Danio rerio: one gene and its partner. The protein of the gene in region 1 interacts with the protein of each later gene in a biochemical or structural test. Links are inferred from orthologs where the notes say so. Each region holds a gene or a part of one and is shown on either strand. Other genes may lie near its edges.

Evidence for each region.
Region 2: the proteins of jade1 (region 1) and kat7b form a complex in vitro, tested with the Homo sapiens proteins (2 studies listed by BioGRID). The link is inferred for Danio rerio from reciprocal best matches to the Homo sapiens genes JADE1 and KAT7.

The regions. Positions count from the first base shown.
Region 1 is NC_133192.1:28,308,548-28,312,376, forward strand, and holds part of jade1 (protein Jade-1), read left to right. Parts: intron 1-2,339; coding exon 2,340-2,507; intron 2,508-2,616; coding exon 2,617-2,733; intron 2,734-3,828; coding exon 3,829-3,829.
Region 2 is NC_133187.1:6,533,746-6,537,574, reverse strand, and holds part of kat7b (histone acetyltransferase KAT7), read left to right. Parts: intron 1-9; coding exon 10-99; intron 100-239; coding exon 240-380; exon of another isoform or gene 381-536; intron 537-672; exon of another isoform or gene 673-1,041; intron 1,042-2,154; coding exon 2,155-2,248; intron 2,249-2,900; coding exon 2,901-3,047; intron 3,048-3,154; coding exon 3,155-3,261; intron 3,262-3,829. UniProt on the Homo sapiens protein: Catalytic subunit of histone acetyltransferase HBO1 complexes, which specifically mediate acetylation of histone H3 at 'Lys-14' (H3K14ac), thereby regulating various processes, such as gene transcription, protein ubiquitination, immune regulation, stem cell pluripotent and self-renewal maintenance and embryonic development.

The DNA of each region.
Region 1 (3,829 bases):
TTTGCGCTGATAGTGCAATCAAATTCCCACGCATCACAGCCTTCAATGAGTCCCATACTATGGATGGGTCTACCTCTCCATTATCATTTATCCTAATATATTCTTTTATATTTAATTTTATCTGTTCTGTATTTGCTTTGTTATTTAACAAACCCACATTCAACCTCCAACCTGTCTTTCTCTTCCTTCCTTCTATTTGAACTGTCAGGTACAAAGCGCTGTGGTCAGAGACCTCAGCTACTCCAATGCTACAATCTTTCACCCTATAACAGTCATTTTTTGGCATAAAAAAATAATCAATCCTAGAGTATGTACGGTGGGGAGCTGAGTAATGAGTGTAGTTTTTGAGAGATGGATTAATATGTCGCCAGACATCGCAGTATCCTATGTCATCCCAGGCTGTGTTAATTAATTTTGATATTTTGCTCCCATTTCTTTTGCTATTAGTTGTGTCTAAATGGTGGTTTAGTACCACATTGAAATCTCCACCACATATACAAATACCCTCTGCTTCCAGTACAATTACATCCATTAATGATTTGAAGAACAGTTTACTAGTATCGGGTGGAGCATACACATTTACTAAAGTTATTAATTCCTCTTCAATTTTACCCTTAACAATAAGATATCTCCCATCCTTTTCTTTTATTTCCTTATATAATTCGAATTTAAATTTATTAGCAACAAGAATAGCAATTCCCCTTCTATGTGAATGCTCATATGAATTGTAATAAGTATTTTTAAAGCCAAATCTCTTTAATTTCTCATGCTCTTGTTGAGAGAGATGAGTTTCTTGCATAAAAATAATATCTGCTTTCTCTTTTTTAAATTTTGTCAATACCTTTGACCTTTTAATTGGGTTACCCAAACCGTTCACGTTTAAAGACATTAGCTTAACCTCAGTAGACTGTACCATCATCAAAAAGAGTCATTCTTACACCACTATGTTTCCACAGGCAAACCTTAAATAAAATAAACTGTAACACAGAAACAAGCCAAGAACTGCTTAGAACAAGCATTATGGTTCTTGAAATCTTTGAAAGTTTGTGAGTGTGAACAAAAAAATTAAATTCAAGTCCCTGGAGATTTTTTTAATTAAGTGTACATAGAAAAAGATTGTTGAATGAGTTTATTTTGTTCAAGACATTTTCTTTAAAAGAATCCATTTGACCTCCGGTCTGCTAAAGTGTTATTTCACCAACACTTGTGCTTTTATGCGTACAGCTTGCTTAAGTTACACACAATTGCACAATACGATAAGTGTTTCCCGCATGAGTTACTTTGTGTTGAACATTGCCATGATGTTCACAAACATACTATACCACTATAGTACCTCACGGTTTCAGAGACAAACATAAAGTGCCAAATATTTTAATTAATATAATGTTGAGTTGATTTACTTTAGGAGATCAGGTAAACCCATGAGGCAAGAAAATGTAAATAAGCATATTCATATATCTTAAAACTTCAGGTTATATGAGCCTAAACTCTTTTCCAACAAAATCCATACAAAAGTTAATATCGGATTATTTTATAATATAGTATGGGATGTATTAAATAATCTTCAGTTTTATGCAAAACACGCATCAGATATCAGATCTGTCATATAACATGACGTAACCTTGCTCTCACTTAAAATGTGTTCCCACATTAAAACCCTTGCATTTGAGGGCGTTGGTCATAGAAAGTCCTTGTAAAGTTTGTCTTTTCGGATTTAGGCCAGTCGTTTCTTCTCTAATACTAAAATTGTAATTAAAAATTGTGATTTTAGTGCAGATTGTGTTAAAGCAGTTTAACATAGAAGTTAAATTAAAAGTGTCAGTGCAGTTTTGCAGAGTTGAAGTTCAGTTTATTTCAGTTGAGTTTGGTTTAAATTTCACTGCTGAAAGTCCAAACCCTGAAGAGCAAATCCATTGATCCATCTAAACCAAATCAAGCAAGACAGTGGCAACAGAGGCAAGGAACTAAACTTCATTAAATTCACCATTTGTCCAAAGATATTAGAATATTACATGGTACAAATGTACAAAACAAATATTTTTTATTTTACTCCTTTAATTACTTTTTTTATCCGGGAGAGTGAAAATTTTGGCAAGGCTAGTGAAAATCTAGAGAACTGGCTTAACTCAACTAATAAAAATGGTTGTCATTGACTCTGACACATTAAAAAACTAAGACATGCATACATATTGTAATTGTGGCATTTTTTTTCCTGTGGTTTTTAAAAAAAAAGAGTGTCATTATATTTAAGGTATCATATTGAAGTTAGAAATTTGTGACCAAATTTTGAAGAAATGTTCCAGCACACATGAATTACATAACCATGTATCTCTCCACAGGCGTGTTATGGTATACTGAAGGTCCCTGAGGGCAGCTGGCTTTGCCGTACCTGTGCGCTGGGTATTTTTCCCAAATGCCACCTGTGCCCTAAAAAAGGCGGAGCCATGAAACCCACCCGCAGTGGCACCAAGTGGGTCCACGTCAGCTGTGCCCTCTGGATACCTGAAGTAAGGATGCACGCACAAATGAAGACTTATGTAAAGTGATTCACTTAATGACGCAGAAGAGCAGTATGTGTGCTGAGACTGGGCTTTGTTGTGTGCTCTTTATCTCTAGGTAAGCATTGGTAACCCTGAGAAGATGGAGCCTATCACTAATGTGTCTCATATACCCAGCAACAGATGGGCTCTAATATGCTGCCTGTGTAAAGAGAAGACAGGAGCTTGTATTCAGGTATACAGTGCTGATGTTTATCTCTTATTATGTTATGGATACAGTACAGATATGAAGAATGTCCCAGAAATATTGCAAATTTCATTAATGTTTTTAATGAATATTTTCCACATTCTTACAAAAGCATTCATTTTATTTTTTTGTCTTCTGATGTTTTTAGTTCAATTTCAGTTTGTTTATAGCTCTTTTAGGATAGCAATAATTCTCCAATGGCTTTGTTTTTGGTTTTGGATTTCTTTTGCTTTGGTGACTGATTTGTTTACTAATATACAGCAAGATGTGCTTCTTAAAATGGTAATAGCTTTAATAAGAATATGTAAAACCATTAAAACATTGAGTAATAATCACTTAATTGTTGTTCTTTGTAAAAAAAAAAAAAATCCCAAAAATGTAATCAGGTTTTTAAATTGTACGATTATAATTTTATAAGTTTCATTGTTATAATAAATTTTTGTGAATTAGGGAAAAAGAACAGAATCCAGATAAATAAAATATAATTTGAGATCAAAAATTGAATAAAGCAACAAATAATACTGTACACAGAAATAGGATATATGCAAAAGTATGCAGAAGAACTTTTAATTTTGCAGTAACCTTGGTCAAGTGCTTACGATGAACTGTATGCAGTTACAAAATCGGCACGTTTAAGGTCTGTTTTCTTTAAAAATGATCTCCACTGCCTGATTGATCACGGCGCCATGTATATAAAAAATGAAAATTAGTTTCACCCCAGTATTTTCTATGTTTTTGCGCTAGCTCGCTAATCGTGACAGCGCGTACATATAAAGGCTTTTTTTATCTCTGTTTACGCTTCAACAACTAAATGAATGCTGAAGTCTGTTTAACTGATTATATTTTATTTACATTACAATATGGATGCTGTAAAAGGAAGCGTATAAAATTGAAAAAAGTCACATTTAGCTTTCACCAGATGTTTATTGGTATGGAAAGAAACACTAGCTGTGCAAATACCCTATTTGGGTTAAATGTAACATTTTATCATAATGTATCATGAATCAGAGCACATTTTTCCAGCTTCACATTTCTCCGTCCTCTGTGGTCTAATTCTGACGTCTTGTTTTTCCAAATCCCTAGT
Region 2 (3,829 bases), on another chromosome or scaffold:
TCTGTACAGGCCAAATGTGTGTGGAAACATCCTCCAGGGGATGAAGTCTATAGAAAAGGTGCCACCTCTGTGTTTGAGGTTGATGGAAAAAAGAACAAGGTGGGCAATGATTTCAAAATGACTCTTACGTTTGGGATATATCTGTTTTTTTTGTGTGTGGCAGTTTTCACTTCTAAATTAAATTCTACGTTTACTCGCTACATATGAAGCTGATTTCTTTCATCCATGTGTCTCAACAGATCTACTGCCAGAACCTCTGCTTGCTGGCCAAGCTGTTTTTGGACCATAAAACACTGTATTATGATGTGGAGCCTTTCCTGTTTTATGTCATGACTGAAGCTGATAACACAGGCTGTCACCTTGTGGGATATTTCTCAAAGGTAATGCAGTGGTGCAGTCTATGGAAACTCACTTAAACTGAAATTTATTATAACATTACATATTTTCACAATACTTGCATTTAAGGTAAAATTTTGGGCAGATTTTTAATCATAAGCCTCTTTTGTTGAGACACTGCTCGCTGCAGAGCCACTTGGGCTCCAGTGAGGGGGAGCTTGAGCTCCAACTCCTCCTCCTATAAGCTGTTTTAATGCGTACATCCACCCCTAACCGCAACCCCCCAGTGACATCACTTGTAGAAGAAGTGCAAGGAAGGAGGAGCTGGAGCTCAAGCTCCCCCTTGCTGGAGCTCAGCTCTGCCCACGTGGCTCTGCAGTGAGCACCACTTGCTTTCGTTTACGCTCAGGCAATGGTAATGCTGTTCAGAGAACATCAAACTTGTTGAAATGATTTGAAGACTGGATTGTGTACTCTTGATGTGCTGGCAGCAAACAGTGCACTAGTTTTACACTTTAAGGGATAGTTCACCTAAAAATGTACTGTTAATTTACTCACCCACAGTTCATCCAAGATGTAGATGACTTTTCTCTTCAGTAGAACTTTAGAGATGTTTAGATATATCTGTGGTCCTTGGTGATTCATATGATGGCAGTGATTGCTAAAAGTTTTTTTTAGATTAAAATAAACACAAATGAGTCCAAATCAATAGCCATGGCTTCTGATGAAACAGTGATGTCTTGTGAAGCAAAACGATTGCTCTGTGTAATGCTGTGTTCACACCAGACACCAGACGGATAAATCGCGCTATTCGCACGTAAATAGCCGCGTGAACATTTGAGTTTACTCGCTTCATACGCGCGTCAAACCCTGCTTCATTCGCGTGTCAAATTCACATCAGAACAGACGCGGATTCGCGTGATGGGCAGGGCTTCTGTCTGCCCTGTGACTAGCTTCATAGCTAAATGGCTAACATGGATTTTATGAAGAAAATAACAGTGTTTATGTGCTTTATGAAGACTGAAAAACAGCGTCGATACGTTTAGGGTCGTGTCTGAGTCTACTACATTCTTTCAGAGGTGCATCCAGCTCTGTGAGCTCATAAACTTAACCAACTTAACCTGGCTGACGGAGGCTTTTTTTAGCGGTGCATCTGACTGAGCCAAGCCCAGTTTGATGAACTGTTGTCGGTGAAGGCTGGAGGATTTCCCTCGGAACACCGACAACAGGTTCTACGTCACAATCACGCCCCCACAAGAGGAAGCTTCTGATTGGTTAACGCGGTGCGAATTTACACTGAAGTTCAGATTTTTGAAATCGAGAGATTCGCGCGAAACGCTCGTTAAGCGCGTCAAATGCGCAAAACGCTCAATTCGCCCCACGCCATTCGCGCGTATCGCGCCGCAGGATGTCCATTCGCGCGTTTGCATTAACTTAACATGTAAATCACTCGCGCTTGACGCGCGTTCCGCGTCTGGTGTGAACACAGCATTAGAAATTGAGCACTATTTTCAATATTATTAGCATTAATTTACAGCCTGGTCAAACGGTTCACGATGCATGTGTGAATGTAGCCTGATTGTAGTCCTGTCACTTTTGAATCATCCACAGATTCAGCTAAAATCTTCTTTAATCTTGTACTAAAGAAAAATAAAGTCGTCTACATCTTGTGTGACCTGTGAGTGAGTAAATTTACAGTAAATAAAACAAATGTGTGAACTGTTCTTTTAAGAAAGGCTGGTCAGAACAAGTCATTATGTTTATATCATGATCATAAATTCTCTGTTTAAGCATAATTGTCTGTTTTCATGTGTGCAGGAGAAGAACTCGTTCCTGAATTACAATGTGTCTTGTATCCTGACCATGCCACAGTACATGAGACAGGGCTATGGCAAGATGCTGATTGACTTTAGTGAGTACCTGGTGTGTGTGTGGTTAGGTTCTGACGGTTATATTTGTGAACAACTGAGCATTCCCATAGATCATTTCATTATGGCAATGTCACTGACCCATGAACATTTACTTATGTCAAACTATTTTGTAACTGTAACAAGAGGCAATTTAGTCATATCTTAACATTAAAACCTGTCATAATATTATTTATCAATATGTGGAATTTTTTCGATTCTTGGAAGCTATAGAAATTAAAAATGCAATACAGGAAATACGTTAAGACCGTCGTTATTGTTTACATTCCTCAAAAGACTGGTCTGTAAATGAAAAGCATCAACTCTGTGCAAAACTCTATATCATAAATAGTAATAAAATGCAGATATCAAACTGTGCAACATCAACCTGTGATGTGGATTTTAGTTTTAGAAGATGAAATGGAAAAAAATAGGGCATTGAAAAAAATTTGTAAGCAGAAAAAACCCTCAAAATTAGCCAGTTTTGCTAATATCGTCTTGGTGTTCAACACACAAATCTGTTAAAATCTTGGAAAATTTAGTCAAGGGTTTATGACCCTTTAATTATTTATTTAAAAAAAAAAAAAGAATTATACACTAAAATCAGGATTTATGACCTTTTAAATACCATGCTATTGTGTTGCTATTGCGTTCCAGGTTACCTGCTGTCGAAGGTTGAAGAGAAGGTGGGCTCTCCTGAACGCCCGCTCTCTGATCTGGGCCTCATCAGTTATCGCAGCTATTGGAAGGAAGTCCTGCTACGCTACATGTACAATTTTAAGGGCAAAGAGATCTCCATTAAAGGTAAGAGGAGTTTCTTGTGCCCCAAATGTGAATGTTGTAAATTAAGCATGTTCAATCAGACATCCCTGAAGGGTTTGACTTCATTTTTTTTTTCTTCCTCTCTTCAGAGATCAGTCAAGAGACTGCAGTGAACCCAGTGGATATCGTCAGTACACTGCAGTCCCTTCAGATGCTCAAGTACTGGAAAGGAAAACATCTAGTTTTGAAAAGACAGGTATCATCTGTTTGTTATTTCTCTCTCTTTTTTTTTTGTATGTTTGCTTTAAAAGGCCTGGGTGTCCACAGGGTCTTAAAGTATTAAAAGTTAATAAACGAATGAAGAGAAATTTAAGGCCCTTAAAACTTATTAAAGTCTAAAATGCTATTTTGCAAGGTATTAAGTTTGATATCATTTTTGATTATGCAGTGTATAGTTGTATGCTAAAGTTTCCCTGAACTAAATCTGCGAATATCAGGATGTTGTATAGTTAATGAAATCCTACTATTTTTGACATCATGCTGCTTTGTTTACTGCAGTAAAGGTGCCAACCTTTTTGGATAAATTGCTTACATGAATATTTACTAAATACATTGTAAGTTTAAATCTTGCAAGTGTTGTTGGTTGAAAAGTAGAATCTGTGCCCAGAAAATAAACTTTTTGAAATTCAGCCAGAAACAGGTAGAAAATCTGATTTATTTTTTAAGTCAAGACATGAAGAGATTGTTTATAGAAGATGCCGCATTGGACACACAAGACGCATGAAAGGAGAAAAACCCCTAAAATGTCTATATTGCAAAAGAAA